Linked DNA regions of Oryzias latipes. The main gene of each other region encodes a partner of the protein of the gene in region 2 in a complex. Links are inferred from orthologs where the notes say so. Each region holds a gene or a part of one and is shown on either strand. Other genes may lie near its edges.

Region 1 (4,165 bases), on a different chromosome or scaffold from region 2:
GAGACACAGTCATGTGTAGCTTACAGTTAACAATAAAGTAAGAAAGGCTGAATTAATACTTTAAAAAAAAAAACAACTCCCAGGAAGGATCCGGGTCGTGTCTTTCACACCAAAGAGCCGACTTTAAGGTTGTTTCACTTGCTACTGACACATCAGTACACGAGTCTCTGCTCTGCTGCTCACCTGCTGCTCCTCAGGGATAACAAGACTCCTTGCAGGATCTCTTTTTGTCTTTTTCATCTTTGAGCCAGTTTGGAAAGCAAAGCGACTGCAGCAATGAGGGGATGTCTGTACTTTGACCGATCCCCCATGCTGCTATGTGCCAGTAATTCCGTCTTTTTTTATAATTAGTCTCTGTTTCATTTCAATTAACAGAGAAAAAGTCAAAGCCTGCAAAATCTAAGTAACAAAGTAACAAGGGTTTCTATAGTCCAGTAACTGTAATTCATTACAGAATATGAGCTGTAATTTGTTATGTTCTACCGTTACTGACAAAAGTAATTAAATTACAGTAATTTGTTACTTTGTAATCCATTACCCCAACACTGAGCAACATACAGAAGTGAGGATATTTATCAGTTTAAACAAACACATTTCTGTCTTTAATGAAGAAAGGTCAGGAAAAAAAAAAAAAAAAAACTAAATGAGTAAAATAGGTGAATCTGATCTTTAATGTGATACATAATATGGAAAAACATGAAAATTGGAGTAATATTTTTGGCTTTTCAGAGCTTTTTGTTCCTTCTTTTCATTGGGCAGTCATAAAAACAGGTTTTCATGGAATATTCGTGTTGAGGCCTTGCAGGGCTTCAGATTATTGAAGGATTTCAAGCCTCCAACCAAACGAACTTCCAGTTAAGGAATGTAGTTTCTGGCTTCACTTTTCAGGGAAGTTAAAGAACAAATGTTAAAGAAAAGATGAAGAGACTTACAGTTCAGGTAGTACGGATTTGCCAAACACTGCACAAACTCCAGCTCGGCCTGGAAGCGGTGCCGGGCCTGCTCATCTGGACCAGAAAAGACAGCATCACACAAAAGTAAAAAACACTGCGAATTCTGAAACAATAAGCAGTTTGGGCCTGACGACCTGCTGCAGTTATTATTATTATTATTTTTTTGCTGCTCTGATATTTCCATGATTCGTGTGTTATGCTAACACTGTAAATGAGTTTTATTTCCCCAAACACATTTCCTGTGTTAGACCAGTGGACTGGGTGATAAGTTAGAAACTATATAAGCGCGACGCAAGAACTGGTTTATTGTCAGACTACATTTTCACAAACGAGCCTCTGAGGTTCGGCTACTAAATACAACCAAACAAAAAGATGCGACCGACAAAAACGTCTGACTAAAGTAAATGTGAGTTCAACCAGTACACAATTTTACTAGCAGTGTCCTGAAAACCTTAGAGGGTCAGTCACCGCACAGTGAGTGCGGGAACAACTGTCACCAGAAATCTATGTTTTGAGTAGAACTCCTGGTTCCATGTTGGGGTGGAATCTCAGTCATTCAGGTCATGATAAAATGAAAAGTTCCAAAAGTATTCAACTGGACAAAGTTTCTGGTTTGAAGACGTTTCGCCTCTCACCCGAGCAGTTTCTTCAGTTCTGTCCAACTGGTGCTGAGCTAGAGATTTACATCCTCCTCGCTGGAGTCCTTTGATGGCCAACCAAACCCCCCAGTGACTGATTCGTTGACCCCTGTGTCCCGGTTGTGTCTATCTCTTCCTTTTCCTCACTGACGGTGCTTTCTGCCCAGAGAAACCTTTAAGAGGGCCTGACGCTTGTTTGTGTAATATTCAATAGAATGAGGGTTTTTATTTAGCGTTGTAGTAATGTGCGTTAGCAGCTGAAGGTGGGTAAAATGCCTGACTGAGGCAAACATCAAGCGTCACAGACAGATGTGGAGCAGTGGACGTCGTTTTTCAAAATAAAACCTTCATAAACACCTGATTAACAGAAAAAAGGAAGAGTGGTACCGATATGGAGCTGGAGACCACTGTCCCCGGTGAATCATTGAGTTAATGGGGTAGTTAAGGTAGTATGTCTGATAAAATCTCACATTTACAAAGTTATTCAAACCTGATAGAGCTTTATTAAACCCACGTGAACTAGTGTGTTGTCCTTATGTCGGTCTTTGGTTTATTTATTGGTTAAAGAGAGTTAGCAGTTTGCTAAAATTAGCCCAACGTTTTTGAAATTATGAATTATATGCAGTCTGAAGATCTTACTTATTCCTGCTCAAGCGACCTGTACTAGTATGTCGGGGTTTACTTTGGCTTCTTTATGAAAAATGTGTCAAGATGGACGAGCTTCATATTCTATCTTTTTAAACTTTCTCATAAATGTCATATTACTTATTTTACGGACTACAGCGAAAAAATCCCCGCGTTAATCGCCGACATTATTAATTTATTATTTACGAAAAATTTTCGGCTTGTTGTACGCACGAACTCAGGTTAATAAAAGCATCAACACAGCTTTAAGTCTTTTACAAAAGTTAGAAATACACAGTTTCTCAAATGTCAAATAAAAACACAAGAATAATGAAGACATTCATCATCCTCCCATATAGTTAGACTTAGAAGAACCAAAGCTAACAAAAATAGGTTTAGCTACAAACCTGTTTCCATGGTATCGACCCGAACAGTAACTATTTACTGTCCACAAACTGAGCAGGGCTTCCAGAAAGAGCAGAAAATCCTTATATGTGTTTAAATGTTTAACAAATCTTCAGTCCAGCTGCTTTTGTTTAGCTTTCATCAGCCGTAAGTGAACTACTCGGGCAAAACCACTTCCGACTTTGCGACACCTGCTATCTACTTTACGGCTTTTTTTCTTTTGCAACAAAACTTTGTTGTTCAGCACACGGACAACAAAAACTGAGACAGAAAATACCCAACACAAATAAAAAATACTTGTTAATCATACTTTTGGTTATATAGTGTTTGAAGTCTGAAGAAATAAACATTAAATGTCATCATGAAACAGAAATAATTTGAACAGTGAATAAAAAACGTCCATGTTTATTTGAGTCTTTGTTATTTATTGGAAAAACACAGAAATTAAATGATCAAAAAGCAGTAAACGGAAAATGTTTTGTTATTTTTCATCCAGTCTGATGTTAATGTTTTTCTCTGAACACTGAAAAATATGAGAATATGCAAAAACTTTAGGTAATCAAAATGTTTCACACTTGATTCATAGGATTTCTGATCTTGTAGTTCAGCATCTGGCCGTATGATTGCTGTATGAATGATTGTGGCGCTCCATGTATGTATGTATGATTGTGGCCCATGTGTGATTGTGGCGCTCCACAATCTTACTAGGCTGTGCTTTTCCTGCCAGCATCTTACACCCTGCAGTTATGTGCTGGATTGTTTCAGGCGCCTCTTTGCACAGCCTACACCTTGGGTCTTGTCTGGTGTGGTAGATCTGAGCCTCCATTGCTCTGGTGTTCAGGGTTTGTTCCTGGGCTGCCAGGATGAGTGCTTCAGTGCTGTCCTGTAGGCCAGCCCTTTCTAGCCATTGGTAGCACTTCTTGATATCAGCAGCTTCAGTTATGGTCCGGTTTGTCCTCCCATGAGGATTTGTCCTCTAGCACTGCATCCCTCTCCGTTGCCTGAGACATTCACTGAACACACTGTCAGTTGGGGCCTTGAGTTTGATGTATTTGTGTGCAGCAGGAAGAAAGAAATAAGAAAGTGCACTCGCTGTAGTTAAACACAGTGACGTATGCTTCAGAGGACGTTCAATTGGCTGTTCTGCATGTCAATCAAGTGACATCTTTCCTGCCGAGGATGATGATTCACTGACAGATTTTTAAAAAATATATTTTGATATTTATTTCTTATTTTTGATGACCTGCAATCTACAGTTCCATCCTTCGTGATCGACATAATGAGCACCCCTGACCTAAAGGATTTGAATGTGGACCATAAAATAACACTCTTTACATGTTTGAGTGATAAAGTTTTATTATCAACAAGTAAAAGGAGTTAGCAACAGGTTTGTAAAAAACAGGAAGATACATATGTACACAACACACACATACGTGCATACACAAACACACACACACACACACACACACACACACAAACAGGCACACCTTTGTTACTTATATTGGTTTATATAAAAACTAAAAACCTTTGTAGAGATCAGCAAAA
Region 2 (4,132 bases):
GTCTCCCATATCGGTCTTTTGTTCAGGTTTGTTTGTGAGCACAAATGTGTCTTTGTTCAACTCTGAGTTAAGGAACGGAGGGTGGATGTAGGTCATACAGCCAGACAGGATCAGAGCAGACAGAGGGCCAACACTCAGACAGGAATAAAACCCCCACCACCACCATTGTCAACAGCAATAGTTCCTCGCGTTCTCCCTTAAAAGTTGTGACACAACGTCCACCCCCATCAGGCTCAGCGCTGCAACACAGACTCAGAAGAGCGGAGCTCAGGTTTTTTCACGTCGTTTCAGTGCAGAAACAAGAGAAAGACACTTGTATAATAAAGGCCACACAAACCAAGCTGCTTTTCTGGGTTTTATTGAAAACATGTCATTGTGCTGTTAAGATTTAGCCATAAAGGATCCCATGCTGCCACCTAGTGGCTGTATAGAGAGCTTCAAAGGGGGACGTGAAGGTGGACCCAGTAACAGACTGATGTTCCTGCATCTGAGCAGTAAAGAGGCGGGCGGGGGAGATCACCGGTTGTAAGGGTGAATGGAACCCGATGCAGACTTGATGTTTGTCTTGATGCTGCTTGGCATTTTTCCTGGACAAAAATAAAGAAATAAAAATGTGTCTCCAATACAAAAAACTTAATACATTTTACCAGTACAGTTTCCTACCTGGCTGACCTTGCTGCTGGGGGGCCCCAGGCCCTCCCATACCTGCTTGCTGGTTTGACCCGCCACCAATAGTGACCTGCTGTAACGTTGGACCTCCGCTCATCATGGGCCCCTGCCCTGGGTGGCCAGGGGCCACAGGGCCAGGAGGTCTACACTTGGAGAGTCCCTTCCCAAAAGCCACAGCTGCTACCAAGGCACTGGTGTCTGTGGGGTTGAAGGACGCTTTGTTCTGCCGCACTGCTGGAAGATAAACACACTCAGCTCTTTCTACAATAAGGACAACAAGGGATTTACACAAACGAGCGACCCACCAGAAGCATCTCCCTCTCTGTCCTCTCGAGGGTTGTTCAGCTTCTCCAGAAGGTTGGAACACAGCTTGTTCAGAGCCTGGATATGCTTCTGTGGATTAGCACAGACAAACACTAAACACCTTCTGAGCACAGACAACAGATAACAAACATCCATGCGCCTCCTGACCTGAGCCAACTCAGGACCAATCCTGACCGCCTCTGCACTCAGCTGCTTCTCCTGCTCTTCCACCTCGGGGTCAGGCTTGGTCCTCAAGTGATCTGGCACAATCTCGTGACTGAACACCGGGACGCGTTGCTCTGTGAGTTTCTGAGGGGGGTGTGGGGGTGGACAGGATAGTTAGAGGTCTTTCACCACACAGGACAGCCTGCAAATGTTGCGGCGACACTCACAGCTAAATCCTCATCCCGGTCAGGAGACAGGAGCAGCGGGATGATGACCTGACTCCGGAAAGCTGGGGTCTTCTCGTTCCTCAGCAGCTTGTTGATGGTGTTCAGCTGACCCGAGAGGAGAGCAAAGTTGTCCAAAACAGATGGCCTGAGGGACAGGAAAGATTTGAGAGGGGGGTGAGAAAACTTTTGCAGGTAAACATGGAGACACAAACACTTTCTAAAAGACGCATGCACACGTACAAATACACGCACGCAAATACAGACACCAATGCTACAACAAGCTGGCAGTTACCATAGATCTGTGTTGGCTTGCTTGTTTTTCTTTAGTTTCGTTTTTTTTTTTCTCTAATTATTATTCTGTTTTTTGACAGAATTGTTGTTTTTTACACAAGTGCAGTGGCGTGCCTGCTAGTCCTTTGGACTATTTATCCCCCACTTTCTGGGTCTGAAGCGGTCTGTGGGTACATCGTCTACACGGTCAGCTGTTGTTGCTTGGCAACAACAACATGCCGCTGGAGAAGCAATCCCAGATCGCAGGAGATACTGAGGAGACTGGGGTTCTCCTGAGTTTTCAGGACTCTTTTTAATGATGGCATTGTTGCGTCTGCCCTCTTCTATGGTTTGAGCTGCTGGAGGTGTGAATGCACAAACAGGAACAAGAAGAGGATCAACAAACTGGAGCGGAGATCCGGCTACGTTCTGGGATGTCTCCTAGAATCGGTAACTGTGGTGGGTGAGAGTAAAATGTTACAGAAACTGAACTCCATCATGGACACTCCTCTTCTTCATCATCATCATCATCCTTTGTATGGGTGTACTGAGCAGCTCCTTTACACCTTGTTGCAGGAAGGAGCACTTTCCCAGATCTTTCTTCCCGTCAGCTATTAGACTCTGCAATGCCTTATAGACATTGGACAAAAATGATTGCTGTTAATTGTTTAAGTGTATTTTTAGTGTTATTAATATATATCTGATGTTTTATTGGAGCTATGGCAACAACAAGGTAATTTCCCCTTTTGTGGGATCAACAAAGATTTATAGTCTAAGTGCGCTCGCGCACACATGCACACGCACGATATGCACTCACTTGTTAACTTCGCATGTTTCCAGGCTTTTATTTATCATAATCAAAGGAGGGGGGATACGTTACGTCATAAGGGCAGGAGGACCCACCATGTCAGACGTTCGTACTCATTCTCCAGCTTGTAGATGAAGCTGCTCAGGGCGTTTTTAACGTGAGCCACCCGGGAGATGAGAGACTCCACCGCCGTCTCCAGCTGCTTCTCCTCCCGCTGCTGAAACACAAAAAGGACGAGCAGAGAGGCCCGGACAGATTACACAGCGCCCGAGCTAGCATCAGTCCAAAGTATCGTCCACAGTAGGTCAGAAGAATCACAGACAACCGAGTGAAATTATTTCAGACTCACTTGCATTGTTGATCTGTCAGCGACCCGGAAGTCTTCTAGGTTGTACTTCCGCTTTGCGCTTTCCAAAAAAAAGAGATGCTTCTTCTTCTCTGGTCAAATCTGACGGTGTGTTTGTGCTCCCTTGTGGCTACAGCAGGTACCCATACCACCCATCCTCTTGTTTTTTTCTTTTCTTTTTTTATTTATTGTTCAATAAATATTTGTTTCTGAGGGTTTTGCACCCTTTAATATTGTTTTCTTTCGTCCAAATTCTCTGTTCCAGGCCAAAATAATGTACTAGAACTGTCCCGTCAGAGTCATTAATCCAGTCTATACTGACTTTTTTAAAATAGAGAATCAACGATGGTGTTGACTAAAAAAAAATGAGAAATTGCAGCAACCAAAGTGAAATTGAAGAGCTGAGAGCAGAATCAGAGGATGAGTCCTGCAGACAGTTGTGAAGGAAGCACAGAGAAGGTGCAGCTTACAGGGAGACAGAGATAAAAGCTCAGAGCAGAAACAATTTAGTCTTCCTGGTATTTATTAAAAACAAATGATATGTTTAGTGTTTTTGTTTCTGTGTGTGATCATGGGTCTTCTGTAACAAGCTGTATATTGTTCTGGTTATCTTTAGTGGAAGCTCCAAATGTCCCAGAATCTTGGCCAACCATTACAAAATCAGTTCTTTTCAAGTTTATGAGTCATCAACATTATCTATTTAGTTCGGCTTTATTATTAACATTCACCGGTCCAGGCATCAGACTAAAATACAAGCCTTATAAAAACAGAGACCTGATTGTTTGGTGCAACCTTGGAGAAGAGCTCTCTGACCTAAGACCTCAAAAGTGTCTCTTAGACTGAATCCTAACACCATTTGACCCAGCAGTGGTCTGGTGAACTGCCCAGGGTGTATCCCACCTTTGCCTTTCAGTAGCTGGGTGGGCTCTAGGACACCCAGCATACTTTTTTTTTATATACATGAATAAAGGTGGTTTAGAAGATGGATCAATGTTTCTAGCAGTGTAAACTCTATATGCAACTGCTATTTTTACTTCAGGATCAGAGTTCAGATAATGTTTGCATGAGCAAATGTCCAACGTGACAAAATAAATTAGCCTGAAGAATCATGCCAGCTGTTCATACACACTTAAGAGTTAATAAAAGACACTCCAGAAAAGTTCAAATAGGACATCCACATTCAACAGGTCTGCACAGTTTCGTTTATTGCTCTGAAATGAGTGTAAAACGGAAACTCTAGAAGTAGTTTTCCACATCGCCTGTTTCCACCACCACCGTCTTCAGCTGGGAGTAGTACTCGATGGTCACCTGGCCGTTCTCTCTGCCAAAGCCTGCACAGATCAA

Evidence for each region. The genes of interacting proteins can lie anywhere in the genome.
Region 1: med8 (region 2) and med31 share a complex: the UniProt entries of both Homo sapiens proteins name them as parts of the mediator complex. The link is inferred for Oryzias latipes from reciprocal best matches to the Homo sapiens genes MED8 and MED31.

What each region holds. Positions count from the first base shown.
Region 1 is NC_019872.2:23,702,630-23,706,794, reverse strand, and holds the start of med31 (mediator of RNA polymerase II transcription subunit 31), read right to left. Parts: upstream 2,816-4,165; 5' UTR 2,633-2,815; coding exon 2,623-2,632; intron 1,008-2,622; coding exon 933-1,007; intron 1-932. UniProt on the Homo sapiens protein: Component of the Mediator complex, a coactivator involved in the regulated transcription of nearly all RNA polymerase II-dependent genes.
Region 2 is NC_019862.2:24,741,027-24,745,158, reverse strand, and holds med8 (mediator of RNA polymerase II transcription subunit 8), read right to left. Parts: upstream 2,891-4,132; 5' UTR 2,798-2,890; coding exon 2,792-2,797; intron 2,660-2,791; coding exon 2,538-2,659; intron 1,510-2,537; coding exon 1,365-1,509; intron 1,282-1,364; coding exon 1,141-1,281; intron 1,063-1,140; coding exon 975-1,062; intron 904-974; coding exon 664-903; intron 588-663; coding exon 517-587; 3' UTR 343-516; downstream 1-342. UniProt on the Homo sapiens protein: Component of the Mediator complex, a coactivator involved in the regulated transcription of nearly all RNA polymerase II-dependent genes.